4 linked regions of the Alligator mississippiensis genome follow. The protein of the gene in region 1 interacts with the protein of each later gene in a pairwise test. Links are inferred from orthologs where the notes say so. Each region holds a gene or a part of one and is shown on either strand. Other genes may lie near its edges.

Evidence for each region.
Region 2: the proteins of TRIP10 (region 1) and ABL2 interact in binary tests that used the Homo sapiens proteins (3 or more experiments, as listed by UniProt). The link is inferred for Alligator mississippiensis from reciprocal best matches to the Homo sapiens genes TRIP10 and ABL2.
Region 3: the proteins of TRIP10 (region 1) and ARHGAP12 interact in binary tests that used the Homo sapiens proteins (3 or more experiments, as listed by UniProt). The two-hybrid records come from large-scale screens. The link is inferred for Alligator mississippiensis from reciprocal best matches to the Homo sapiens genes TRIP10 and ARHGAP12.
Region 4: the proteins of TRIP10 (region 1) and WAS interact in a two-hybrid assay, tested with the Homo sapiens proteins (2 studies listed by BioGRID). The link is inferred for Alligator mississippiensis from reciprocal best matches to the Homo sapiens genes TRIP10 and WAS.

Annotation. Positions count from the first base shown.
Region 1 is NC_081831.1:24,056,063-24,063,031, reverse strand, and holds the start of TRIP10 (cdc42-interacting protein 4), read right to left. Parts: upstream 3,018-6,969; 5' UTR 3,003-3,017; coding exon 2,952-3,002; intron 1-2,951. Other genes in the region: retinol dehydrogenase 8, read right to left, coding at 5,446-5,676, 6,947-6,969. UniProt on the Homo sapiens protein: Required for translocation of GLUT4 to the plasma membrane in response to insulin signaling. Required to coordinate membrane tubulation with reorganization of the actin cytoskeleton during endocytosis.
Region 2 is NC_081828.1:51,224,611-51,231,576, reverse strand, and holds the start of ABL2 (tyrosine-protein kinase ABL2), read left to right. Parts: upstream 1-3,957; 5' UTR 3,958-4,028; coding exon 4,029-4,215; intron 4,216-6,966. UniProt on the Homo sapiens protein: Non-receptor tyrosine-protein kinase that plays an ABL1-overlapping role in key processes linked to cell growth and survival such as cytoskeleton remodeling in response to extracellular stimuli, cell motility and adhesion and receptor endocytosis.
Region 3 is NC_081828.1:192,837,494-192,844,972, forward strand, and holds the start of ARHGAP12 (rho GTPase-activating protein 12), read right to left. Parts: upstream 3,004-7,479; 5' UTR 2,895-3,003; intron 2,605-2,894; exon of another isoform or gene 2,323-2,604; intron 2,278-2,322; exon of another isoform or gene 1,441-2,277; intron 1-1,440. UniProt on the Homo sapiens protein: GTPase activator for the Rho-type GTPases by converting them to an inactive GDP-bound state.
Region 4 is NC_081831.1:28,376,232-28,384,026, forward strand, and holds the start of WAS (actin nucleation-promoting factor WAS), read right to left. Parts: upstream 3,006-7,795; 5' UTR 2,154-3,005; coding exon 2,040-2,153; intron 1,665-2,039; coding exon 1,524-1,664; intron 861-1,523; coding exon 774-860; intron 356-773; coding exon 259-355; intron 126-258; coding exon 84-125; intron 1-83. UniProt on the Homo sapiens protein: Effector protein for Rho-type GTPases that regulates actin filament reorganization via its interaction with the Arp2/3 complex. Important for efficient actin polymerization. Possible regulator of lymphocyte and platelet function.

The sequences.
Region 1 (6,969 bases):
GTAGAAATACCAGCTTCTCCACTTCAGACATGTACCCTGATGGGGGATGGGAGATGATTCCTGGGTACATTGTAGGCTAGTAAATATAGAAACTGAGTTCCCAGCTCAATGAGCTGAGGTACATCCAACCCCCTCCCCACCCCCAGCAGATTCAAAAGCTGCATTCACTGGCCAGACCTTGTGATACCTTAACACCAGTCTCATGCTTTTTAAAAAGGCTTTCGTTTTAACGTACTGGGAACAGGGAGCTCTGGGGTCCTGGCTGCTGGCTAATCCCGGTCAGAGCCAGCTCCAGCTTATAAACTATTTAAAAGAAGGGTATTTTTTCTTTGCCCTTCTGTTTTTCCAAGGAGATTGTTTGCCACCCCTGATTCAACACCTTCCTCATTTCCAGGCCTAAATCTATTCTTGGCTCCCGCCACCCCTTGTCCTTCAGCTCAAAGTCCTCGCCTTCCTGCTCAAGTATTTATAGCTCCTCTGTCTCACTGCCAGGCATCTTCACTTCTTCCCCACCATTGCTCCAGCAGCCCAAAAAGGAGAGAGAGTTTGGGGTGCTAATCCCCACCTCTGCCCCAAGCATGGGATACAGTTAGGAATGACCTGGTTGCATTGACTGGGAGAGGCTCTTCTGTGCTGGTCCAGTGCCCCTTGGAGGAGAATCGTGACACTGCAACATGTATCATAGCCTGGGGTCAGGCAACAGGCAGGGGTAGGGATGGCACTGTATAGACTAACTTGGTGGGGGGGTGACCTCTTTGGCAGGGAGCCACAGAGTAATGCCAGGCCCTTCCCTGAGCACTACTCTGATCCCTTCCCATGCCCAACCAGCAGCCCTGTTTCCTGTTCCCTACCCCATTGGCTAATTTCCTTTCTGCTCCCTACCCTGGGCTCCTGGCCCCATCAGTTGCTCTACTTTCTGCTCCCTGCCCCACCTGTTGCTCTCCTTTCTGCTCCCTGCCCAGAACTTCCTGTTCCATCAGCTACTCTGCTTTCTGTTCCCTCCCTATACTCCCTGCTCCATTGGCTGCTCTGCTTTCTGCTATCTGACCTGTGCTCCCTCTACCATTGACTGATCTGCTTTCTGCACCCTAACCTATCCACCACTATGTTAGATCCCAGACTACCTCAGAAGATACCAACTCTTTGTTTCCAATCCTTTCCTGACTATAGAAAAATCCCAGAGAAATTCTTCTATAGCAAAGGCTTCATCAAACCTAGAACAGGGTGGAGTGGTTTTAATCTCATAACTAAGAGATGGACCCCTCCCCCACCTCCTACCCCTGTCACTGACTGGTGTCAGAGGAGGGGGGCATGTTCCCCCCTGACTCAAGAGGCATCAGGCACTCATGGTGGTCTGGCATTGGAGCAGGCTGCCCAGACATGTGGTGGAGTCTCCATCCCTGGCTGTGTCCAAGAGCAGGTTGGATGGACACTGGGATGCAGGTTGGATGATTTAGGATGCATCTGGTGAAGCAAGCTGATTTCATAAGTCTAGAAGGTGCATGTCTACCCTGACGTCTGGGCTAGTTTAGCTAAGGGAGATCCTGCCTGGAGCAGGGGGTTGAGCTAAATGAGACCTTGTGGGGCCCCTTCCAGCCCTGCTTTCCTGATGATCTCAGGATTTACCTGTTGATCTCTGGGCTGATCTGAAGAATGAAGACTGCCCAATAAATCTCATACCAAAGGGATCACTACGGAAATTGGCTCTGAGATCATAGAAAATTAGAGTTGGAAGGGACCTCAGGAGATCACCTTGTCCAAACCCCTGCTCAGACCAGGAACATCCTCAACTAGATCATCCCAGCCAGGGCTTTATCTAGCCGGGTCTTGAAAACCTCCAAGGATGAAGATTCCACCACCTCTCCGGGTAACCTGTTCCAGTGGTTTACTACCTCCCCTAGTGATAAAATTTTTATTAATATCTAACCTAAACTTCCCTTGCTGCAACTTTGAACTATTGCTCCCTGTTCTGTCATCCACTACCACTAAGAGTCCAGCTCCATCCTCTTTGGAGCCACCCTTCAGGTAGCTGAAGGCTTCTATCAAATCCCCTTTCAGTCTTCTCTTCTGAAGACTAAATAAACCCAGTTCCCTCAGTCTTTCCTCATAAGTCCCCCAGCCCCCTCACCATTTTCTTTTCTCTCCACTGGACTCTCTCCAATTTCCCCACATCCTTTCTGTAGCTGGGGGCCCAAAACTGAACACAGTACTCCAGATGTGGCCTCACCAGTGCTGAATTGAGGGGAATAATCACTTCCTTTGATCAGCTGGAAACACACCTACTAGTGCAGCCCAGGATGCTGTTAGCCTTCTTGGCAACTAGGACACACTGTTGGTTCATATTCAAATTATTGTCCACTATAACCTCCAGGTCCTTTTCTGCAGAGCTGCTGCCAGGCCAGTCAGCCCCCAGCCTGTCCCGGTGCATGGGATTGTTCCATCCCAGGGCAGGATTTTGCACTTGTCCTTGTTGACATGAGATTTCTTTTGGCTCAATCCTCCAATTTGTCTAGGTCACTCTGAATCCTAGCCCTAGCCTTCAGCATATCTACAACTCCCCCCAGCTTGGTGTCATCTGCCATCTTGCTGAGAGTGCACTCTACACCATCTTCCAAGTCGTTGATGAAGACACCGAACAAAATTGGCCCCAGGACCAACCCCTGGGGCATGCCACTTGATAACAGCTGCCAACTACAAATCGAGCCACTGATTACTACCCTCTGAGCCAAATGTTTGAGCCAGTTTTCTATCCACCTTACAGTCCATTCATCCAGCCCGCACTTCCTTAGCTTGCCTGCGAGAACGTTGTGAGAGACTGTATCAAAAGCCTTGCTAAAGTCAAAGTATACCACATCCACTGGTCTCCCCGCATCCACCTCATCACAAAAGGCAATCAGTTTGGTCAGGCATGACTTGCTGTTGGTGAATCCCTGCTGACTGTTCCTAATCACCTTCATCTCCTCCAAGTGCTTAGAAATGGATTCCTTGAGGATCTGCTCCATAGTTTTTCCAGGGTGCCCAGTAAGTGGCCGAAACAGCTCTTACCATATTTCTTGCATATAAATGAGCACTCTGATACCCAGCAGCTGGGCACCCAGGGGAAATCTCACACCAAAAGTATTACCAAGGGGCTGAAACTGTTCTTCCCATATTTCTCATGTATAATGAGCATTCTGATTTGCAGCAGCTGGTTTTTTGTTTTTTTTCAGGCCAGGCTGAATAAGCTGGAATGAGATACTGAGGGAAAGGCACTTGGCCACAGACTTTGGCGTAGGATGGAGGGTGATGTGTCCTTGCCGATGACTCAACCTTCAGGCTGAAGGGGCCCTGGCAAGGCAGCTCCAGGGAGGGGGTGGAAGGGAGAAGCGCCAAGTCTGGACGGTCAGCAGAGCTCCCTATTTGCACGCTGCTGTAGTGAATTATTCACCTCCAGGTCTCCTGAGGCCTCTGGCAGCCGAGATCTCCCCCCTGCCAAGAGCAGCATGTTCTTCGCTGAGGTCTGTGTGCCTGAGAGGTTTGTGCGCCTGGCGCCAGAGAGGCCCGATAGGAGCAGAACTCAGGCATCTGGACTCCCAGCCTCCCCCAACGGAAACTAAAACCCAGGCATCCAGGCTCGCAGCCTCTTGCCCCGCTGCCCCAAATGGAAATGGTGTCTGAGCACCCTTCCCCCCAGCAGCAGAGAAGACAACCCAGGCAGCGGAGGTCCCAGCCCCTCCCGCAAACAGAGCAAAAACCAGGAGTCCAGGCTCCAGCCCCTCGCTGCCCCAAGCAGAGAGACCCCAGGCACCCGCACTCCCAGCCCAGACCTGCCCCTCCCAGAGCAGAAACCCCAAGTCCTGGCCCCAGGCCCCACTTTAACTAGGTCAGGGATTCTGTGTCCACCAATGGCTGCGCAGCCTCCTTGCCCCTCCCCCCAGAAGTGGCTGCACCCAAGGGCCCCAGAGCATGCTGGGAGCTGTAGTTCCCACCTAAGCCCATGGCACACAGCATGCTGGGAAATGTAGTTCCTGCCCCAAAGTTTCACAGGAAAAATCATGTCTAGCTTCAGCCTTCCATGCTGACATGAACCCCTACAGCCCCCATTGACACCTGCCCTACTGTGCTCCTATTGGCTACCTTTCAGGGGCAGGCTCACACACAGGGCTCCACACTGATTGGTGGAAGGGCAGGGCTGAGTGCAGGGATTGGTGGAGCTGCGGGTACTTGGCTGTGTAGGTCAAAGGCAGGTGAGAGATGCACCTTATAGACTAACTAAAGATGTATAAACAGAAAAACCCAGACATCTGGACCCCAAGCCTCCTGTCCCTGTGGTTCCACCCCAGAAGCAGTCGCATTTCAATTCCAAGATTGACCTCTGCCCCCACCCCCCCCAAAACGTGCATTCTGGCCCCAAAATGCTTCATAGAAACATAAAAGTTACCTTCCCCAAGAGCTAACTTCAACCAAGGCCACTTAACTCTCAGTTGGGTCTCCCATCCCTGCTCTAACCCAACCAGACCCTGCTTAGCTTTGCAAACTCAAACAGCCCAGTTGGGGGGGGGGGGGGGGGGGGTTGTAGAGGCTGGGGTACTCCCTCAAGTTGACCTCAGATCAGCTCCAGCCCCTCCCAGAGCATAGAGGGAGGATGAGATAGGGCTGCAGGTGCCAGCTGGGGATGCAAGTCTCATTGTTGCATAGGTCTAGTCAGGTCATTTTGCCACTCTGTGTGTGCCTCAGTTTCCCCTCCCAGGGCAGGAGGGAGTGAACCTGGGGACAGCAATGCCTCCTCAAACCTGCTTCCTGGATAACCTTAATGTTCCTAAGGTACCCCCCATATGGGCCACAGGTTGGGCATTGCTATGCCAAGAAATATGGTAGTTGCTGGGCTCTCTTACCAGCATCTTCTAGCAGGTCCTGCTCTGTACCAGGGTTGGAACAAGTTGTGAGGGGCAGCTGGGATTCTCTCGCCAGCTCTAGGAGTGGGGGTAGATGCCTGGGTTCTGCCCCTGGCTCCGGGGAGTTGGGGCGGGGGGTGGTTAGAGCAGGGGCCTAGGAACCAGACACCTGGGTTCTCTCTCAGCCCTGGGAGGGGGGTGAGGTCTGGGGAGTCAGAGCAGGGATGGGCTGGGGGCCTGGATGCCTAGGTTCTCACCCAACTCTGGGAGTGCGGTCTGGGGTGTCATGGGGGGGGCTGGGAGCCCGGACACCCGAGTTCCACCATCTGTAGCCCAAGAGGACGCCTCTCCTCTGCCTTTCACCATGCAGGTCTCCCTGCTGCTTTAATCCACAGTACAAATTGAACCTCCCCTGAGTGGGGTCAGCCCCCAGGGGCAATTCACAGCCCCACCCAGATCCCTACTCCCCACCCTTGCCCCATTCCCGCCCCACAAAAAAGCCGGCACCTCACGCCCTCCTGAGGATGCTAGAGGGGAGGTGGCTGTATGGGGGGGGGGGGAAGGCTGGGGCTCAAGGGGTCTTGGTGTGGTCCATGTCCCGGCGCTTGCGCCACTGCAGCAGCTTGAGCAGGCTGAGGCTGGCCTTGAAGAGCCGGTCATGCTGGAAGATGAGGCGCTGGAAGGCAGCAAGGGGCAAGTGCCCGCTAGTGTCTGCGTGCTTCAGTGTGGCCAGCGGTGCATACAGGCTGTTGGTCTGGGACCGGAACGGCGGCGACTCTGACGTGATCACCCGAGCCGTGTGCTGGAGAGGGGAAGGAGGAGGGACCAGGGCCTGAAACCGACTGGGGCTCCGGGAACACAGATCTTCCCCAAGTGCTGGGGAAAGGGATCAGTGGGTCTGAGGCTGCTCTAACCCTGAGCATGCCCCGCCCTCCCCAGGCCAGATCCTGAACCTCCAAAGTACAGGGGGGGGGGGGAGTGGAGTCAGTGGGTCTGAGACTGAGCAAGACCCTGGATAGACGCTTCCACGGCTGGATCCTGAACCCCTGAAGTGCCATGGTGGGGGTGGGGTCTGGATCTGAAGCCTATGGCTGGATCTTGAACCCCCAAAAGGCCAAGGGAGAGGGGTAGAGACTGACCAGGCCTGAGACAGACCTATGCTCCAGCCAGACCCTGAACCCTGGGGGGTGGGCGGGGGGCGGGGATCCAGTGGGTCTGAAACTGACCAGAGCTGCAGACATACCCCCAAGTCTGGATCCAGTTCCCACCCCACCCCCAACCTTGACCCCCGCAAAGCATTGTGTTGGGGCAGGATCCCAGACTGACTAGGGCTGAGGACACACAGAGCTCCCCCCTGGCCAGGTCCTAAATCCTCAACATGCTAGGGGGGTGGGGGGGACTGGGTCTGAAACCAACTAGGGCTGCAGACATGCCCCCCCACCCTGAACCCCCAAAGTGCTGAGGGAGGAGCAAAGTCAGTGGATCTCAGATTGACCAGAGTCCCCGATACCCCCAATGGCCAGACCCCGCCTCCTGCCAGACCCTGAACCCCCAAAGTGCTGGGGGAGGGGGGGGAAGTCAGTGAAACTCTCTCCACCCCCCACAGCCAGGCACCCACAGCCGGACCCACCCCCTGAACTCCCAAAATCAGGGGAAGCAGGTCAGCAGGTCTGAACATAACAAGGACCCTGGACCCCCCCCCCCCCCCCAAGTCTGCCCTTGAACCCCCAAAACACTGGGGAGGGGGGCAGCATCCAAGTGATACTAACAAGGGCCCTGGACATGCCCCCCAGAAAAAAAAATCTTACAGCAGGACATGTTCCAGAAAGCTGCTGCAAGAAACCCCAGCTCCGGGCACCCTGAGGTGTAGATTTAGGGCCTATCCTGCTTGGGGAGACCTGGGTGATGGTCCTGCCCTCTCCCCCCATGGCTTGGAGGGGTCACAGCAGAGACATACCCGTCCACCCCCCCCCCCCCATCTTTTAGGGTGGAGGGTGCTGAGTCATGCCCAGTCTGGGTTGGCAGCCAGCACCCCAGAAAATGGAGGATTTGTGGGCAAGGGGATTTCCTACCTCGGCCACCTCTGCCGGCGACT
Region 2 (6,966 bases), on another chromosome or scaffold:
ACTTGGGATCACAGGGCCATAGCTGTGCCTGGCCTCCTTTTAGCCACAGTGTTGTAGGGGCCAGGAGTTAAGGCACCCCACCCCACCTTTCACCAGGGTGGTAATTGGCCTGGTATTTCCAGGGGACTCCAACACCACTAGGAGCCCCAGCAGGCTACCCATCCCCAGCAGGGTACAGCTTTTAGGTCATGCCCAGGACCAGGAGCCTCAAAACCAACCCCTTAAGCTCCTGCCCTTACCTCCAAGATATTACATACAGCCTTATAGCCAGCCAATATTTCTACCTAACTTACCAGTAGTGAACAGCTCTGTTTATATAGGTGGCCAGAGATCTAAAATGGCTGCTGCAATCAAGCACCTGCTGGCTGCTTGTCTCAGCACTTAAAGTGGCAGGCACCAACAGTGCCCTGCCACAGACTTTTAGATGTGAAATAATGCAATTAGCATCTGCCCTACACAGTTTTCTCTTCTACCTTCCCTATTTCCATTAAAAGTGTGTTTTTTACAGTGCTTTCTTGTGACGTGCATTTTAGTGAGTCAAAGGAGTGTGTCTTCCACTTGCATCCTGGACCTTTATGTATATCGGTCCCACACTTTAAAGAAGAGAACTTGAATTTGAGTTGATATTTAGTGAGGAGCTAATGCAGTGAACAGAGGACTGGTTTAATTTATGACACATGTACAGGGCAGCCAATGGTACGAGCACAAGCCTTCCTAGAAGTAGGGTCGGAAGGGACCTTGTAGATCTTCAAGTCCGACCCCCTGCCTGGGCAGGAGGAAAACTGGGCTCAAATGACCCCAGCCAGGTAGGCATTGAGCCGCTTCTTAAAGACCCCCAGGATAGGAGCCAGCACCACTTCCCTTGGAAGTTGGTTCCAGATCCTAGCCGCCCTAACTGTGAAGTAGTTCTTACAGATGTCTAATCTAAACCTACTCTCCAACAACTTGTGGCCGTTATTCCTTGTTATCCTGGGCGGTGCTAGGGGAAACAAGGTCTCCCCCAAACCCTTCTGGTCCCCCCTAGTGAGTTTATAGACGGTCACAAGGTCCCCCCTCAGCCTTCTCTTGTGAAGGCTGAACAGGTTCAGGTCCTGTAGCCTTGAGGGGATACAGATCCCTTCTGAACCCTGATGAAATATATGCCCCTGAATTACCTATTCTCTAGATTTTAGCCAAGTGAAAAATGAAGAGAGAGCAGCAAAACGTGGGGGCAGAGGAAGTTTGTTTATGACACAGACATCCCACACATGCCATCAACCAGCAAACATTTTTTATGCCTTGTACTATTCCATCCTAGCAATTGTTCACTGCATGCTAAACCATTATCTAAGAATGTGTTGCCACCTTGCAACTCTGTACCAATGTGGTTATCATGCACAGGGTTTTGTTCTTTCTTTGCATAGCATTGGATTAAAACATTTTCACCCCTTTTACCCTGGGTTGACATAAACTGCTTGACTAACTGCATGTTCTAGATTGCATCAACATATGACATCTGTGCTCCACGTGGCTACCATGTGCAGGGTCTTACATTCTCTTCAGTCTCTACAAAGCCATGTAAAGCTATGATTCTTAACTTTCATTAATAAAGTGTTAATTCTCTCCCTAACTCTCCACCTTCTGTGCACTTTCTCCCAGTGGTGAACTCCCTTAGCTTTTAAGTACTTAAGAGTTTTATCCTTTTAATCAGAACATTTTCTGATGCAGATACATAGCAATTTTTATGTAAGTTTTTGTCTTAATGTGCCTTGATGTTAACAAAACTATTTTTACCAAACTGGTGATTATGTCAGTTACCATGCAGGGGCAGAAAATCTCACTGAGTTTTAGAAGCCACTGGTTGGTTAGTCCTCTGCAATCCTCAGTGTGGGGCAAACTTTTTCTAGCCTTCACCATTTGGACTGGCTTTGAACACCCACCATACTTTTGTTCCTGCTTATCTAAAATGGGGCTGGGAAGGGGGATGAATTCCTATACAAAAAGTGTGGGACTCATTCCTACCAGATGTTGTGGAAGCCAAATTCAAGAAGGGATTAGAGCAGGGGCGGGCAATTATTTTGCGCGGAGGGTCGCTTACTGAGTTTTGGCAAGCCATCAAGGGCCACATGACAGGAAGCTGGGGACAGATAAATATTAATTTTCTAAAATTTTTAGGGGCCCCATGGGCCAGATAGAATGGCCTGGTGGGCCGCATCTGGCCCACAGGCAGCATTTTGCCCACCCCTAGATTAGAGTCATAAGAGAAGTAGTGCTGGAAGACACCTCCAGAGGTCACCTAATCCAGTGGTTCTCAACCTTTTTTGTACCAGGGCCCATTTGTAAACATTGATGGCCAATCCTGACCCAATAAATAGTTTGAGTAGAAAACAGTCCCCTTGCCCTGCTGGTGCCCCTCACTCCTGACCTGCTGCCTCCTGCCCCCCCAGTCTGTGGGGTAGGAGTGGGTGTGTGGAAGCAAGGGGAGCCTCAAACAGCCCCTTACAGGCTGAAACTCTGCCAACCTGCAAGGAAATACCCCCAGTTTCCCATGTTTTTCTCCTTTAAGGGAGAATCCATTTTTAAAGTTTGTCTGCGACCCTTTCCTATATTCTTGCGACCCACTTTTGGGTCACGACCTATGGGTTGAGAAACACCGTTCTAGTCCACCCCCCTGCCTGATGCAGGATCATCCCTATCCTAACCATCCCATAAAAACCCTTATTTAAACTCTACGTAAGACTGCCCTCAACCCGGACACAACACAGACCTAACACCCAAACCTACCACAGCCTCGTAAAGCAAGGGGAACCAGGGCAGCCAATGTCCTGCTTCTGTGAACTGTTACTATATGCTCAAGAAGTCCCTGGTAGAGGGCTACATCCCCCCCTCTGCCCCCACCCGAGGAAACATTGGACACAGTGTTAGAGGAAAGGGGTATCAGTAGCTATTGAGCACAGGATTTAGGGATACAGCCTCTGGATCAGAACTTCCTAGACCTTAAATGCTGGAGATTGCAAGTGTGAGGAACATTGGGAAAAGCCGTGGCCAGACCCAGTTCACTCCCCCTTTCAGCATCCTCTCTTTGCCCCTGTGTGAAGCAGGAGACCCAGCAAGATGGGCCGATGGTTTGAGGCAGTGAATGGCAGCTCTTATATTCTTAAAATCCTGTGTTGGAAAAAGGGTGGGGATGGCATCACCTCCAAAAGCCTAGCCCTGGGGACAGAGAGGTGGGGTTGCCAACTTGTTTAAATCTATTCCAGGTTTCCCGAATGCCAACAAATTTGTGAGACACAGCGCAAACGTGCCGGCGTATATCAGTTACAGATTACGATGCATAGACTTCACGCCAGGAAGGCAAATGCACATTACTATTACATTTTTAAAACCCACTGGACTACTGTATAAATTGGACTCAACGTTTAATTTATTTGAATGAATGCCCTATCATTGATCTCTCCGGTACCTCTCAGCAGTCTCCTGGAGACTGTATCTATTTCCTGGAGACTCCGGGGCAATCCTGCGGGGTTGGCAACCCTAGAGGTGCTCAGCCCTGTCAGCCTGAGGTGAGGCAGAAGGCAGGGTAGGTAGATTTGCACCGGCCAGACTCAGGACATCAGATAGAGAGAGCAGGAGCGCGGGTGAGCCCGGGTCACTTCCTCAGGCGCTTGCACAGCATCTGAGGAGATGAGCTCGTTCCCCGAGGATCCTGCTCCGCAGGTCTGCAGCGAACCGCTCTACGAGGCCCTGGGGACTGGAGGGGGAGGAGGGGACACGCGGGGCGGGGCGGGGCCGACCCCCTCGGAGGACCGGAGGTGGCTGCGGGAGCCACTCTGCCCCCTCTCCCGCAGCTCTGTGGTTAAGATGGCGGCGGGGGTTGAGGGGGCGAGCCCGTGACTCCCAGGCCGGAGCGCGGCGGGGCGGGGCTGGGGCCAGCCCTGTAGGGAGCCGCCGGGCCGGGGGTGCCGAGGCCGCCCGCCGGGCCGGGCCGGGCCGGGCCGGGCCGGGCCGGGCCGGGCCGGGCCGCGGAGGCGGCATGTGATCGGGGCGCGATGGGGCAGCAGGTGGGCCGCGTCGGGGAGCCGGGCGCCGCTCTCCAGCAGCCGCCGCCTCAGCAGCAGCAGCAGCCGCCGCCGCCGCGGGGCCTGCGGGGGAGCAGCGCGGCCAGGCCCGCTGGGCGCCGGCGGGAGGCGGCCGGGCGCGCCGCGGAGGGCGGCTTCAACATCTTCACCCAGCACGGTACGGGCCGGCCGGGGTCTTCCTAGGAGCCGGCGCGGGGGCGGGGGGCGCTGGGCCCCTCCCGCGGTGGGAGGGGGCGCGGGGCGGGCGCTGCTGGGAGGGGGCTGGGCTCCCGCGTGGGCTTCCCGGCCCTGGAGGGACGTGATAGAAGGCGGCTTTCCCTTGGGCCGCTGCCTTACCCGCGCCCGCCCACATTATGTCCCACCGTGGCTGTGACAAGTTTGGCAGCTTCTCCCCCATGTTCCCATGTCCCTTGGGGCCGAGCAGGTGTTGAGGGTGCTGGAGAGCCGGGACTGTCACTGAGCGGGGCTGCCCCTCCTCTGTCTGGGGGTACAGCACTGTCATCCTGCTTGTGGGATGGTGTTTCACTTGCTCAGTGAGGAGGGTGGCTCCTGGCAGGCAGTGGCCTAGGGGCAGCTCACGCTTCTTGGCCTGGCTTTAATAACTCGGTCCTCTGTCAACCGACTCTCATGTGTTTGAAGTCCAGCTTTGCTTGTCCCAATGTGCTTGTCTTTTCCTTCTCATTGTCAACAACCCTCTGTGGTGCTGCCTGTGAAGGGAGAAAGTCGGTGGAAAGTAGGGAGCTTCCGCAGGAGAAAGTCAGCTTAGAAAAAAAGCCTAAACAATAGATGCGACAATCTTTAATCCCACATCTTTCCTGTACACTTTTTCCTTTTTCTTTTCTTTGTGTGGCATACTTACACTGTGCTGGTATGCACTGAACCCTGGCAGGTTATCAAGAGTAGAAGTCTTATATTGGTGCACTTTGTGATGCTAAAGACCTGAATCCATTTCTGAGAACATTAATTGATTTTGTTGCAGGTGAGGAAGATAATGCTCCCATATTCATGCTGCAAAATGCTTCTGAGAGCATAGATTTTTCCAAAATCCAACAGAACAAGCAATGAGTATTAAGATCTTAAACAGCTTGCCGGTTCTTTAATGTAAATATCATCCACTGTTGCTGCTGATAATGGACAGCCATAGGAAATCAGTGCAGGTGCAGGGATTTGTGGGTATTTACAAAATGACACAGGCAGCTTCTAACACTAAATTTATTTCCTAAATAGAAAGTGTGTATTTGTGTGAGTCTAAATATCTGTTGATATGCTGCCTGTTGACTTAAGACATGGTTCTGACTTAAAATTTGCACTTCTAAATGTCTTACCTGCTATAATTGCAAGTTAATTATAAGAGCTGTAACTGTTAAGGAGCTGTTCTGATGATATTCATATACTCAGTTTTGTCCTCTCTCTTGTATAGTCAGCCAATTACTCTTGGCTTCCTAAGTCTTTCAGACAGCACCACAGGGGACAGAGATACTAATTAAAATAGGAAAATGATTGTCAAAAAGACTGCTGGTAACTTCTTAATGTCTACAAGTTTGAACTAGGGCAGGAAATGGGAAGGGTGTTCAGAGGAAGTATAGTACTGTTTTTGGAACCTTATGTAGGTTAAATGTGATGCAGTTAAGCTGGGGTTAGGTTTTCATTGCTCTTTCAACTTACTCTTTTGTGTATGTCTCTATGCTGCAAGAGTAGCCAAGAGTAGGACTTCATTGTGCTAAATCCTTTCCTTGCTTGGTCTCTCAACAGGCAAAGTAGGCAAAGGATTGAAGAAAGGGAGGATTATTAGCCAAGTTCTAGGGAACTGAGGCACAGAGAGGGGTCCTTCAGCTGTTGCTTGGCAGAGCCACAGAATTGGCCCCCCACAGTTCCTCAGCAAGAAGCAGCTCCTGCTCTCTTAGGTCTTTGTACATATCTCTCTATATAGCTGAGGACAGAGGGCGCATGGAATGAGTCCAGGTTCAGAGCAGAACTGGTCATTTGCCCAGCAGTAAGAGTATTTCCCTGTGGTATTAATGATGTAGGTTATTAAACGTTACAGAATTGTTTTGCTATGTACAGTATATTGCTTGCTTCTGCCTTTCAGCTTGTACAGTGAAAATGCCTGGAGACAGTTTTACTTTCAAGCTCTTGGTGTTTGCTTTACTTTGTTTGTGAACAGTTCAGAGGGATATATTCATTGGAATTTTCAAGGTGAATATGCATCATCCTATTTGTTGGGTTCCCTAAAAAGCCAGGTGGCTGGTTTTGTTTTTGTTTTTTTGTCTGTTTTTTTTTTAAACAACTAAACTTGCATGACATTCAGGTGCAAGCTCTGAATCCCAATGCTGCTTCAATCAATACTTTAGTCCTGCTAGTATGAGTTTCTGCACCCAGTTACATTTTACCAGAACTAATTAGTGCCTTGGAGACCACAACCAAAGCCACTAGAGAGAACTTACCATACTGCACTCTAGTCAGAGTTGAATACTTATATTAAAACAAGTCATTGCAGGCAGCAACCTAAGCCCTTTGTGTAGCCTGGGCACAGTTAGATAATCAGGAACTCATTTCCTTTTTCAGAGGGGTTTCCCTACTTTTATCTCTCTTCCACTTGCATTTGTTGCTTTCTCTTGCTCCTGTCCTTAGTCTTTCTTCCCTTTACAGTACTTTGGCTCCCTGATCATCTTCAGGAGGCACACTTCATCTGCTGAACTTCCTTCAATGCATGATCCTTATTTTCCTTGTCCCCAAACGGTTCTGGCTGCTTATTGCATTCCACTTAATTTGGTTTCCTTCCTTCTCTTTGTGACTAGCTTTGTACCTTGTTATATCCGTGTTCAGTTCCTTCTTCTGTTAGAGGGGCAGTATAGTCAGCATTATTTGCTGTGGATAAATGATAGAAGGGATAAGAACACTGGTCCAT
Region 3 (7,479 bases), on another chromosome or scaffold:
CTGGGCCACTAATGTATTTTCATGAACAGATCATATCAGGATCAAACAAGATGCTTTAAGAGATTAATAGGGACTCTTAGAGTTTATCATTTCCCACCCACAGTACAAGGCAATATGTTCAACATCAAGTAATTTCATAGCCAATGTACCTTAATCACGCCTTTCCAAAATGCAACAAATTTTTACTTTGCCATACTAGATAGACTGCATATAGTACAGCTGCAACACTCAAGGTGTTTTATCTTAGTAAAAAATTATAATAAATGATTTAGTACTTCCACAGATCTCAGTCCCCATCTTTTAATATTTCAAAATAGCAAAGTATAAGAGGCCTAGTCAAACCTCTAAGATACAATTTAGTGCAGGTCCTTTCCTTTTTGATGTCTTTGTGTAACAAGGCATTTAACAGAATTTGCAGATTTGCTGGAATTTGACAGGGCTTCTCTGTGAGTGCTTATGCTATGGCCTTGAACTTGCAAACTCTAGGCTACAAACTGTCCCTTAGCACGTGTGCCACCACGTTAGAAGAGAAGAGAGATGAATGGAGGCAGAAATGCTGGGTTTTATTCCAGTTTCTGACACTGGCCCAAGTGATACTTCAGAATTATTCTAGCAACCTTGCTGTGTCACAATTTCACCTAGCATGTCAAATATAAAGCAAAAATACCCACTGAAGTAAGTACTTCAATAATCTCACATGAAAAAATGACATGGAATGATTACCTCAGTTAAGTAACTGTAGGCTTTAAAATATGAAGATCTCATGAAGAGCTTATTAATAAAGAACGGATCCAATCACGATCACAAAAAGACAAGAGAAAAACTCACTACTAACAATCTGAGCCCAGTCCCGATGTACATTTTTAACAGATGCCAACCTCTGAGATGTGGTTAACTTTATTTTAGTTGCTCTCTGGCTTTCCAGCTTTACCTGACCAAGGGAACAACTAGACAATCTGCAAGGCATAAATTCATACTAGCATAAAAGGGAAATACAGGCAGAGCCATCTTGGGGGGAAGCGGGGCTGAATCGGGGCAACTGCCCTGGCCCCCACGCTTTGAGGGACCATGCGGAGCTGGGCCAGCTTCACGTCCAGCCACTCGCTGCCACCCCCGTGTCCAGGCCCTGCACAGGCTGATTTCCCCCAGGCCTCACTATGGTTGTCTCTGAATACAGGTAAATGTGTATCACACATAAACAAAGTAATACAGAACATTTAAAGCTTACATGCAGAATTTTTAGGTTACAAACCAACAAGGGAAACATTTCTTTTAAGAGACCATAACTTAACATTAAGTTTTACAGGGAAGCACTACTGAGTAGGTATTCTACCTTAGTAGAAGTAAAGAAAGCCCTCTCCTGCTTCTTTTTCAGCAGCCTCAGGTCCAAAGTCTAATACCACTCTTGAAAAGATTTCAGCAGGTTTAATGAAACAATACCTTTGTTTTGACACTTCCCTCGTTCTCAGCTCTCAGTAGGTCAGAAGAGGATCATTCATAAAACAAACAATCTAGAGTCTCATCTCAGCTTGCACTGGTTTAACTAGGTTGCTTTAAAAAGATGATTCTTTGTATCCAGGCACTTTACACTGTTTAAGAGTAGCACTGTTTCAGTGTAGTTTAATCACGTGCAACCAAGTTAACCTAAAACAAAATAAGGCACTCAAAACTGAATAAGAGTAACTACACATAGAAGTACGTGAGTTTAATGAAATTTATTTTAAAAGAGAAGAAAGAAAAGAAACACGCAGACTTGCTCAGGCCTCTCCAAATTTCAAATGAATAAAATTAGCACTCTGGTCAGCCCCGTTCCCACATTTCCCACATCCCCCAGCTTCTCAACACAGAGAACTGCCGGCGAGCGAGCGAGCGACAGCAATGTGAGAAGCAATCATAGCTGTTGACTCTGTCCGTCCCCAAGAGGAGATTGCAATCTAGCGACTGAATTCCTTTCCTCCAAATCACTCACAGAACCATAAAACCTCTTTCCAGTGTTCACTCGTAGTTGGAGGGCATGTTTGAGGGAACACTACTGTGAAATTTTAAAATTTAGAATGCAATCAAGGGGCTAAGCTGCAAACAAAATACAGACAGTTACTCCATCCGCTCCGACAGTCATATGCATTCATGCACAACTCGCACAGTGCGCTTCTTGTATCACCGCTCCAGCAGGCATTTCACTGACACATTCATTAATCCAACAACAAACAGATTGATGAAGTTGAGGCGCAAACACAGGAAGCCACTGAAACCACACTAGGGCCAGATTAGATGTGGGATCCCTCTCCCACCCCTACCCCTCCTCTCGCGCCCTCCCCGCACTTGCGGCAGATCCGGTGCAAGCACATTTCTTGAAACAGGTGCTCCAACACAAGCCGAGGGTCAAAAGCCGACCCGACGGTAACCAGTGCCACCAGAGAGATGGACTGGGGCCTTTGGTGGATTTCCCCAGCAGGCCACCACTTCCGGTTCGGCCGGAGACACCTCCCATCACCGCCTTGGTCTCAGCCGCGTCCCCCGCGGGAAACACCGCGGTGCAGACGAGCGCAGCGGCCGCCGAGCCCCCCTTCACACGTGCCGGCGCGAGGCGCAGGAAGGGCCCGAGCAGCAACAGGCTCCTCGCACCTGCGCGCCCGACGGAGCAGCGCCCCGGGCCCCGGCCCGGCCCGGCACGGCACGAACGGCACGCGTGCGGGCGGGCAGGCAGGGCCCTCGGCCCCGCCCCCGCGACACAACCCCATCGCCCCCGAGCCCGTCTCGGCCGTGCCAAAGCGCCCGGAGCGGCCTCGGGCCGGGGCGGCAAGAGCCGCGCAGCGCGGGGCGGGGCGGGGCTGCAGTGCGCGAGCAGGTGCGTGGGTCTGTCTCTCCCGCCTCCCACGGAGCAGCCGCCTCACCCGCGGGGGTCGGCGTCCCGGTCCGGGTCCCGCTCCAGCGCGAAGGCAGCTGCGGCTCCGGCTGCCGCACCCGCCCCGCGGAGTCAGGACCAGGGCAGGCGGAGTCACCGCTTCCCCCGTCACGTGACGGGGGAGGGGCGGGGCCTCGCGGGGCCCCAAGAGGGCCACGAGCCCCGCCCCCCGGCGGGCCGTTGCCTCCCCGCACCCCGCGCGCCCCCTGTGGCGGTTGGCGGTGCTGTGGCGAGGGCAGACGCGCGGCCGCGCACAACCGCTGCAGCCTCTCACGCGCGACAGCGCCGCCCCCAGCTCCTGCGTGTGCAATACAAGGAGCAAATCAGCTCTGCCTCGTTGTTAGAAGTGCCCCTTCCTCACGACACCCGGAGCCCAGATAACCCGGGCCACGGGCCTGAGGACAGCGATGCCCTGATGGCGACGTGTATCTGAGGGGTCCTGAGGGGAAAGAAATGTAGGGGGCAAGGACAAGAGAAATCTGCAGGAAGGAGGGAGCAGCTAGGCAGGAGCAATGTGCAGTGCCAGTGAAGTGAAACCTTTCATACGCAACTCTCCGCTGCCTCCCTTACCTGTCGTAAAGAGGATGAAGGGTGTACGCTCTTCTTCCCCTCCTGCTTTTAAGGCAAAAGGAAAGGAGTTTTTTCTTTGCCGGTTAATTTTTAACGATTGAAAATGTGAAAACAGACTTAGGATACAAAATTCAGGCTGATATTTTTAGATTTAAAAAAAAAGCTTTGCTTTCCAATAATTTTGCTACACATAAGTTAACAGTCACAGTTAGTTTGAACATGTTGCGATTCATCTAATGACATGTCTAACACATGCACAAAAGTATCTGAATATCCAGCACAGCGATGTGATTATTCTCCTTACGGCCAGAGTAAGCCGGGGTGCTGCAGGATATGGGCTGGTGATTCAGTGGGGAAGCGGTGATTCACCGCCCCGTGAGTCAGCCCCAAGAGCAGCAGAGCGATAAGTTGGACAGGTCGCTGAAGATGCCAGGTGATGCTAAGTAATTTTGAGGCCCAGACTCTGAACAGTCAGGAAAGAGTCCTTTGGGATCAGGTAGACTTTCCTAAACAGTTTCTAGTTACTACTGTATATTTGCCCTATCCATATTTCTCTGTAATTTCAATACATTTAATCACCCACTTAAAGACGTGTATATCACAGCTGTGCTGATGCCAAATGGTTGCCATATAGACACCTCATGTGACTATTTCAAGAACAGGGGAAGTGACACAAAGCCTACACAGCCAGCTAATGGCCCTTAATTTGCACATGTAGCTCCCACCGCCAGCCTGCTGTCCCAAGTCTGGGAAGCCCTTTGTGATGAAATGTGCTATGTGAACTTAAGTGGAGCTATTAGGAAGGTATATGAATCTGATACAAGGCTTTGTGATGAGGTCCAGCAACACAACAGCCAACATCCAGAGAAATAAAATACACTGGCTGTTTTATAATCCATTGGTTGTTTGTGTTCATTTGGAATTACTGGAATTCTGATCAGAAAAATAAACCATGAAAAAGCAGGGAAAGCATTACTTTCTTGTGTTTCTTCTACTTATTCTTCTACTTATTTTTGTCTGTTTTATTATTATTGGTATTACAGTATCATTTGCATGCCCAGCCAAGATTAAGGTGCATGCCCAGCCATGAAGATGCCAGTTACTGTACTTAAAGCTGTGATAAGAGTACAAACCTTTCCCAATGTATATAAGTATTGGCAAGTTAATGGCAGGAATAAAGAGAAGCTAAATATGAGGAAAAGGCTGGACACTCAGGCACAGAATGATTACATCGTTAGCTCAAAATAACACAGTGAGGCTGTGACAAAGCCAGAAACTGAACCCAGACAACCTGAGTCCCAGCAATGGTTCTTGACCACAGTATTTCCTCCTGCCGCCTTTCCAATTCCATTTCAGAGCACTTTGTAACTAGATATTGCATGTCCTCTCTTTTTCTCTCCTTACACTAAAAGTATTTTCTTATATTTCTGAAATGTGCACTGCCAGCAACCTAACAATGTTTCTGGAGTGGAACCTTAGAGGAATAGCAACTGACTGAAAACCCCTTCAAGGATGTGAAAAGAAACCAGACTGACAACAACTAATGCATGTTTATATCCTGGTGTAGTTACTTTTGTACTACACAGGATTTTAGAATAAAATAATGAATATGATATTTTTTCCTAAGTTGGTATGATTTACAGATCAAAAGAAAATGAAGATGCTGTGTTGTACATAGAATGAGTGGGTGGTGGAGAAAAATACTCTTCCAGGAATCTTCAGATTATTACAAAATTTTAAATTCCTGTATCCGTACCACTGGAGCTGTTCTCATCTTATATCTCATAAGCTGAACATGGATATGTACCTTTTCTATTTACTCTATTGAAAACAATGCGAGTCTTTTAACGTTGGGTACCTGGTACCTGACCTATACATTAAATAAAAATATACAACCTAGGTTCAAATGCTGGAAAAAGCAGGGTCAACTAGCTATATATCATAGTCCTATAAACTGGAATCTCCAGGTCTCATTTTAATTTTGTTTTCCTGTTCTCTGTAATTCCTCTGATTGAACCCCTGCTCCCTCTTGTTAAGCAGTCCACTATCTTATAACTTAATTGCAGTGATTCTTTAAGAATGGTTGTGTTCTGATTTGTTTAAAAACTCTGTGTATTTCAGATTTGACATTAACATTTCACTGTTCATAATGTAGAACTGATGGTTGGTATCTAATAGGAATCTGCTGTTTGAAATGTGCATATGCTACTAATTCCAAGCTGTTAATTCATTATTTAGATTGTGATCTTCCCCTAACAGAACAGACTGATCTCACTGTGAATTACAGGTTTCCCTCCCTTTGTGCTGTACACGCGTTCAGAAAACAGCACGTAACTCAAATTTTCATAAAGGGAACCCACTTTACAACGTAACAAATAGGGCTACGTTCCAAGACCTCAACTGTACTGATCCCCAGACCCATTTCTACCACTTTTACAAGACAGTTTTGGTACTCACCAACAGCGGGCAGTACACACAAGCACAGGGCACTATCATAATGGGGACGGCAACTACAGAAACACATGTTGCAGACGAGAGAGGAGCACAGATCCAAACAGGAGACTGTATTGGTGCGCATCACTTCCACAATGCACTGCACAAAGCAGCTGACTGTGGGTTTCCACCACACCGATTGGATAAGAGTGAATTTACCTCTCATATAACTAATTTTTGGTATAAAAAGGGTCATCGCAGAAAAGCAAATTCGCACGTACAGAATCTGCATACAGCGAGGGACAGCTGTATGCAGAATCTTTGTTTGGAGAGTGATGGAAAAGAAAAATACCAAATGTATAGAAAACATACTGAACAAGAAAGCAAAAAAAATCTGCTTTAATCAGAAATTATTTCTCAAAAACTCAGTGAAGATATGTGTTTCATTATTAAGCTAAAGAGGACAGTTTGCCAGACTCAAAGTTCCAGAGGAGTTCTTTTACTTTATAACAATTAATAGAAATGAACGAAGGTTACATTTATTTACCTGTAGATGTTATGAGGCTGAATATTTGTAAGTTTCTCTGTAAAATTCCTCCAGTGTATAACAGTGCAAATATGATTACTGTGCTTTACAACACAGTGTCTGGCAAATTCACAATCACCTGATTATCTGCCTGAATTAAATGGGGGGAAAAAATACCATAAAACAGCTTTTAGTCTAACCAAAACAGATACCTCAATTTAGTGCTTTTCAGAAACAAGTACCTGAATTATCCCCAAAACATTAAAAAAGTTCTAGCCCAGCATAAATCTGTAATTTTCATGTTAGGCAATTTCAGCATCATGTAGTTGTGAATCATTGCACAGAATTAAAATGTATAAATGTACTACTAGATGGTTTGCTGATGGAATCTTTATGACAAATAATAGGTAAAAAGGACATTTCTTTGTGCTACACTGATCTAAAAACTTTGTTCTAGCACTGATGTACAAAGCTAAAACTTCAGTCAAATCAGTCAGCTATGCACAACTAGTTTTATCTTAATCTACGCAATTGCTCAAGCTAGCAGACAAAACATACTGAAGGCAAAATTATTCCTTTAAATTAGGAATGTCTCCTCCTTGGAATAAATTTATAAGGAAAGGATTGTCAGTAATAGAGCCATAACATAAAGTTTTCTCAGTGTCTTGTTTCTGTCTCCTGGAGAGCTAAAGAAAGCCACCCTTAGGTCACAAAAGTTTCTGAAAAAAAGTTTGTTTTTGTTTAATAGATAAAGACCTGTGTGTTAATGCAACATTAATGAGCAGGAACAAGTGAAATATAAAAAGTACTGCAGAACTGTATACAAACAGAAAATAAGGTAAACATTTTAGTTTAAAATAAAAGTTTCTTCATGCTACCAGTTCTTTTACCAATTCATGGAATACAAGATTGTAAGAGGTGTATGAGTAAGCTCTAGTAGCAGAGATGGATCTTCTTCATAGTGGTGCTGTCACCTCAACCCAGCTTTCCCTGGTCAGACAAGAGAAAGCCTCATAAGGTGTTCATGGTTGCCTGATGCCAAGCC
Region 4 (7,795 bases), about 4.3 Mb from region 1:
CAGAGCCTCCCACCCTCATGCCACCCCTCCACATATACACCTGGACCCCAACCCCCCACGCTGTGGGATGCTGGGGGACTCACCTTCGGCTATGGCGGGGGGCAAAGCTGGGAGCTGCCGCTTGTCTGCAAGGAGGAGACAGTAGTGAGGGTGCGGGGCCCCATCCTGGGCCTGATTCTGGGCCTGATCCTGGCAGGTCAGGGCCAGGGTCCGGGTCTAGATCTGGGGTGAGACTCACAGGGGTTAGGGGATACGTACCAAGCCGCTGCTGACGCTTCTTCATCTTCTCATCCACCAGGGCCCGGAAGACATCAGCTTCACCCTCATGAGCAAAGTTCAGCCCAGCCTGGCACTCCTGGGGGGCAGGGGCAGTGCATGGGGGGAATGACATGGTCCTGGCCCCCCGGCTGGTCCCATTCTGCCCAGCACCAGGGCATCCGTGTGGGGAAGAGTGCAATACCACACTCCAACCCCCACCCTTAGCCAGCAGAGGACCCAGGCATTCAGGCTTCAGCTCCAGCCTACCCCCCAGACCCACTCCTCCTCCTAGAACGGATTGGGAAGTCAGGTGTCCAGGCTCCCAGCCTCTGCTCCCCCCCAACCCTTTCCTGAGAACCCACGTGTTCAAGATCCAATCCCTCCAAGACCTGCCCCCTCCTAGAACTGGGATAAGAACTCAGGCATCTGGGCTCCCAGCTCCATCCTGCCCCCCTCCAGAACTGGGATGTGACCCAGGCATCCAGGTGGGGACCCAGGCATCCAGAGATGCTCACGTCAGCCGGGAAGGTGTGGAAGAATGCAGTGGCAGCAATGTAGGTCATCTGGGCATAGAGCTCCTGCTCCCACAGCAGCTGTGACCCCTACGTGGATAGACAGACGGATGGACTTAGTCTGGATACTTGGGTTCCCTGGCTTGCGTTGTGGTTGTGGGGAGGGGTGGGGAGGCTGGGAGCCTGGATGTCTGGGCTCCCTGTCTGTTTCAAAGGGTGGTTGGGGGGAGACCCAGAAGACTGAGTTCCTTGCCTATCCTAGGGGTCAAGGTTTGAGGTCAGGGAGGGCAGGGGGAGGCAGTCCCAGGCTCCTGGATGTCTAGGTTCTCAGCCCATGCTAAAGATTGAAGTGGTGAGGGGCTGGAGTTCCAGATGCTTGGGTTCCCTGTGTTTCCTAGGGGTTAGGGACTGGGGCTATAGGCCCAGACACCTGAGTTCTTGGCCTGTGCTAGAGGTTGTGGCTGATCCGGATCCCAGATGCCTGGGTTCTCTTCCCACCCTAAGGACTGGAGGGAGGAGTCTAGGGGGCCAGATAACTGGGTTCTCTACCCATACTAGGGGCTTGGGCAAGTGGGGGTCTGGGTCCTGGACGCTTGGGTTTTACATCTAGACTAGAGGGTCAGGGTTGAGGTCGGGGGGTGGGGGTTTGGGGTCCCAGATTCCTGGGTACCCTGTCAATATAAGGGGTCAGGGTTGGGGTCAGGGAAGGTGGGGGCTGGGGAGGATGTCCCAGAGATGGGGTCCCACAGTAACCTGCAGGTCATAGAGGCGGATGAAATAGGAGCGCCGCGGGTTGTCCTTGACGAAGCAAACGACACCACAGCCCTGCTTGGCCCAGCCCCGGGCCCCAGGTGGCAGCGCCAGGAAGAGCTGAGCCACCGACGTAGCCAGGGTCTGAGGGTGGGGGAGGCCACAGGGGGTGAGCATTAGACCTGCAGCCAGCCCCAATCCTGTGGTGCCCTTCACCCCTGACCCGCACCCTCCCAGCCCCAACAGTGTCCCTCACTACTGACCTGCAGCCCCCATAGTGGTACCCAGTAACTCCATAGTGGTGCCTCTCACTCCTGACCCTCAGCCCCCACAATGGCACTCCTTACTCCCTACCCGCAGCCCATCCCCTCATGCCCCTCACTCCTGACTTGTACCCCGCCCAGTTGTGTCCGTCACTCCCAACCCTCAGCCCTGTGGTGCCTCTCACTCCCAACCCACAGCCCCCCGCCCCTTCCATGGTGCCTCTCACTTCTAACCCACAGACCCCCCAGGCCTCACCAGGCATTTGCGACCCAGGAGCTCGAACACCTGCTGGTTCTCATGGGGCTGGAGGAGACAGGAGGGGACATGGTCCTGGGGTCCTGGGGCCCCGATACGGCCCCCACGGCTCATTGTGGCTCTAGCCTTGGCCCTAGCTGGTCTTCGGGTCCCTCTGGGCCTGGCCGCACCCCAGGGAACTTCCGCAGGAAGCTCTGAAACCACCAGGCAGCGCAGGGGGAAGTGACATGCATAGAATAAATGAACAGAGGACTCCGGCTCTGGTGCTACTGCGAGGGCTTCAATTTCTTCAACCACGGCACACACATCAGGGACTGCCTGTTGGGAACAGATGGCATCCACCTCACACCAAAGAGGAAGAAGCTTTTCTTGGTTAGAATGGCATACCTTCTGGATAGGGCTTTAAACTGAGATGGCCGGGAGATGGGCTATCAACTATTAGTACAAGTCTGAGAAATTACAATCTTGAAGCCAGAATCCCAGGGTACAATAGGAAGCATTCTCCGACACCGGCCAATGGATAGGTTATTCCACAGCTCACCAGGTGTCACAGGCAAACTGAGTTATGTTAAGGCTTTTTAGCCATAGTCCAGGCCTTCCCAGAGCTAAGCAGCAAAATTGAACACAACGCCTTCTGTGGCATTGGGAGAGGCGAGTGCTGTGCTTGGGCACTAGGTGAGCAAGACACAAGAGTTTCCCTATAAGGAATATATCTGACACAGTGCCAGGGGATTGGTGAATCACGTAAAAAGTGCTTGGCACAGAGCCAGGGGATTGGACTATTTGGAATGAAACAATTAAAAAGTAATGAACAAACAAAGGAATATGTATGTTTTGTGTTGTATCTCTGGGGAGGCAGAAGCAACCAGAAACTAAGAGCCCACACACCCAGTGGAGGACCTGAGTCCTGGTACCCCTGAGGGTCACTGCTGTAGCATCTAAGGAGCCACTTGCCAGGTTGTATTATGGGGAGAAAACCTGTAATATTGTCTAGGGCAGGGGTGTCCAACCTTTTTGAATGTGGGGCCGGATCATGAACTTTTTATCACCCAGTGGGCCGGCAAGCCATATTCAAACACCCTCTGTCCTGGGCCAAAGAGACCCTGCCTGTGTAGCCCTACTGCACCTGCCTGTTATGGCAAGGTTCATGGTAGCTGCTGGTGGGCAGGGGCAGGAGGGACCCATTCTGCATCCAGCCAGCTACTGCCCCAAAGACAGAAGGGGAGAAATAAATAGCTCCACATCTCCATCCCCCGAGCAGCGCAGCCCCACGAGCCGGCGCTGCCTGAGGGGGGCTGGAGCGAGATGGCCGCTGCACCGCAGCCCCTTACCCGCCTGCCCGTGCGGCCCTGCTCACCATGGTGCCTGGCCGCCTGCAGCCTCAGTGGTCTCAGTGCTGCAAGCCTGGAGCGCGGGGTTCGGCAAACACTGGCTCCCACCACCTCGCCCCGCAGAGGTCACGCCACGACCCTGCCTGCCGAGGCCCCCCATGCTGGCTTCCCATGTGCTGCTGGGGACGGGAGGAGGCCGGCCAGGTTGGCACCAGCCAGCAGAAGCAGCAGCAGAGCCATGTGCCGCTTGGGACGGGACGAGCCCAGCCAGAGCAGCAGGGGCTCAGCTGCATTTTCCCCCTGCCTGCGCCAGTCAGTCCCAAGCGGCACACGGCTTTGCTGGAGCTTCTGCTGGCTGGAGCTGACCTGGCCGGCCTTCTCCCGTCCCCAGCAGCACGGGGGAATCTGGCTTCAGCCGCATGCTGCTCTGGATGGGACAGACCCACCCGGGTCAGCACCAGCCAGCAGAGGCAGCAGTGGAGCCATGTGCCACTCGGGACTGACTGGCGCAGGAAGGGGGAAAGTGCAGCTGAGCCCCTGCTGCTCCGGCTGGGCTCATCCTGTCCTGAAAGGCACATGGCTACTCCTCTTCCCACATGCACCGCGTCAGCAATGTCAAGCTGACACGGTGCATGTGGGAACCTTGTCCCTTCCCTAGCCCTTCAGCAGCCATTAGGAAGCTGCTGAGGTGACAGGGGAGGGACAAGGAGCAGGAAAAAAGTAAACAGTGTTTACTTTCGTTTCCCATTGCAGCACTGTGGGCCTCAGAAAATGCCTTGGCAGGGCCGCATGGTGGCCCATGGGCCGTGTTGGACCATCCTGGTCTAGGGATTACTATTAAAGTTCAATTGATACCACATTGGAAAAGTTGCAGTGTAATCCTTGGAGGGCTCTGGCAAAAAGAAATCCTAGTAGTAACACCAGGAATCCTAGGGCTTCTAATGGCAGGCTTAGGAGTCTGTACGCAAACACCAGAAGCATGGGAAACAAGCAGAAGGAACTGGCCCTCCTGCTAACCAACAACAAGCAATAAGATCTCATAGTGATTATGGAGACCTGGTGGGACTCCACCTATGACTGGACCACAGGTATATGACAAAAACTCCATCCCAGCCCCCTCTTTTTGGACCGTCTGTTTTCCCCTTCTCTCTCTCTCTCTTTCTGCCCATGTGTCTATCCACTTGGTTGCCTAGGGGATCCCTTGGGCAGGGATCAGCAACCCCTGCCACATGTGCCGAGCGTGGCACACAAGGCCATTTTGCTTGGCAGGCCGTGGCCAGCCCCGACTCCGGGAAGCTGCTGCCAGCGACGAGCCTGGGTTGGTCCCAGCAGAACCTGCAGCCTCCCAGCTCCCTGCTGGGAGCAGCCCGGAATCCCGGCTGGCAACAGCTCCCCAGAGCTGGGGCCGGCTGCAGCCAGAACGCTCCAAACAGCTGTGCCGGGCTCTGAGCAGCTCCGACACCAGCTCTGCACCGGCGCGTGCAGGGGCGCCTCGGAGCGGGCGGTGGGGGCGGGGCCTGAGGTAGAGCAGCTCCGGTCTCTTCCGCGTTCCCCACATGGAGGCAATGAGCTTGGCACAGCTGTTTGGAGCCTGCCGGCTGTATCCGGCCCCAACTCCAGGTAGCTGTTGCCAGCCCGGATCCCGAGCTGCTCCCAGCAGGTAGCTGGGATACTGCAAGCCCTGCTGGGAGCAGCCCGGGGTCCAGTAGCTGCACAGAGCCGGGGTAGCTGCTGGCAGCCAGAGAGCCCAGGCTGGGGGCAGGGGCTTTGGGGGCGGGGGGGGGTACAAGAGGCGGTAGGACTGGGGGGAAGGGGCTTTGGGGCAAGGGGCAGCAGGACTGGGGGGAAGGGGCAGTAGGGCTGAGGGACAGGGGCTTTGGGTAGGGAGCAAGGGGCAGCAGGGCTGAGGGACAGGGGCTTTGGGTGGGGGCAAGGGGCTGCGGGGCAGAGGCTTTGGGTGGGGGGCAAGGGGCAGCAGGGCTGGGGGCCGGGGGCTTTGTGTGGGGGGCAAGGGGCACAAGCAAGGCATCCTGCCATGTACCCCGTGCCCTCATTTTGTTTTTCTGCCATGCCGGCACTCTGGCACCTTCCGAGATCGGCATTATGGTGTTTTTCAGCACTCCGGACAAAAAATGTTGCCTACCCCTGCCCTAGGGAAAGGGAGAGATTCCCTCTCCCTGGCCAGGCTATTATTAAACTTCCCACCTTTGACCTGGGAGGGCAGTCCTAAGATAGTGGTCCCTTCTCAAGGTGAGGGCTGATGTTACTCAAACTCACTGGTCAGCATCAGTGATGCTCAGAAAATACCTGGTTGGGTCCAGGTGGTGAGGTCAGAAAGGTTATAAATAGGGTCCCTCCATCTTAGGACATAGAGACATCTTTTGGTCGCTGAATCAAGCTGTGTACCTCCAGAATCCTCTGGATGTTGCTGTGAGTAACTGATCTGAACGGGAGCCAGTAACTTAGACCTAAGCATTCTAGACGCATACTGAACGGGCCAACGAGCCCCTTATACTGTTTTGCTCAAGGCTGTTTTGTTTCAAAATTCCTTTTGGTTTGTATTCCTTCCCTGTGCCCTCCCTCTCCAATCAATAAAGCTATGTATCATAGCAAGCCTGACTGTAAATGTTTGAGAAGGATTGGGCATGCCTTTTTGCTCCCTTTGCTTGGCTGATTAAGGGAAGCTACTGTGGAAGAAATCAAACTTCGCGTTGTGGTTGTATTAGAATTGGCAGAGCCATCTAGGTTTATTTAAAGCTATATAAGTGATCACAGGGAGAGTTCTCAAAGGAGCTCTGACCTCTACAAATTTACAAGCGTATTTATACTTTAGACAGCGAGAAAAGATGCAGGATTCAGACAAAGCAACCTTGAGAGAAACAGAGAGATGTTGATCATTTGTTTGTCACATGCAAGCAGTTTACTTATTTAGAAAAAAACACTATGTTTTGGGAACAGTTATCAGCTTCTGGTTCGGCGGAAAGGAGGAGGTTAACATCTGCACACAGACAAAACAAGGCATGAAGGTTTTTCCTTATCTTAGAACATTATAAAACACATAGCATCAGCATCTTTTTCTCTTCTCTTTCTCTCTCTTCTTAGTCAAGTAAGTAAGTAAATGGGGAACAAGCAGGATGAACTAGCGCTCCTGCTTGCACTAAACACCTATGACTTAGTGGGGCTAACAGAAACCTGGTGGGATTCATCCCATGACTGGGCGGTACATATTGAGGGCTATAGATTGTACAGAAAGGACAGGTTGGGGAAGAAAGGGGGGGGTGGGGGTTGCACTTTATGTCAGTGAGCAATATACATCAACCCTCATCAAGACAGAATCCGAGGTTGAGGAAGTAGAAGGATTGTGGGTTAGGCTACATGGGGGGCAAGGAGAAAGGGCTTTGGTGGTAGGGGTCTGCTACAGACCCCCACACCAAGGAGAAGAAATAGATGCGGGTCTCCTGAGGCAACTCTCGGAGACCATAAAAGCTAAAGAGGCGGTAGTCATGGGGGACCTAAACTACCTGGACATCTGCTGGGAGACTCAGACAGCAAAGTCCCACTGCTCACGCAGGTTTCTAACCTGTGTACAGGACCTCCATCTGACACAGGAGGTACATGGTCCCACTATGGGGAATGCTATACTGGATCTGGTATTGGCAACAGGGGATGATATGGTAGGGGACCTCCAGATCGGTAGCCATTTGGGAGACAGTGATCACCTAATAATAGAATTCAACATAAGACGTCGAGTGGGTAAGGTAAATAGTAGGGTGAAAGTGCTAGACTTTAGGAAAGCTGATCTCAATGAACTCAGGCGATTAGTCAAGGACGCACTGCAGAGTAGGAGTTTTGAAGGGATGGGAGCCCAAGAAGGGTGGCTGTGCCTTAAGGAAACGATCCTTCGGGCACAAAGCAAGACGATCCCTGAGTGAGACAAAAGAGGGAAAGGGGCCAGGAGGCTTCCATGGCTGACCAGAGAAATCCAGGGCAGCCTAAGGGCCAAAAGGGGAGCACATAAAAAGTGGAAGCAAGGTGAGATCACTAAAGATGAATATACCTCCTCTGCTCGTGCTTGTAGGGAGGCAGTTAGACGGGCCAAAGCTACCATGGAGCTGAGGATGGCAACCCAAGTAAAAGACAACAAGAAATTGTTTTTTAGATATATTGGGAGTAAAAGGAAGGCCCAGGGAGGAATAGGACCCCTGATAAATGGGCAGAAACAATTGGTGACAGACAGGGGGGACAAGGCTGAACTCCTCAACGAGTTCTTTGCTTCAGTGTTCCTAAGTGAGGGACACGACAAGTCTCTCACTGGGGTTGTAGAGAGGCAGCAGCAAGGCGCCAGACTTCCATATGTAGATCCTGAGATGGTGCAGAGTCACTTGGAAGAACTGGATGCCTTTAAGTTGGCAGGCCCAGATGAGC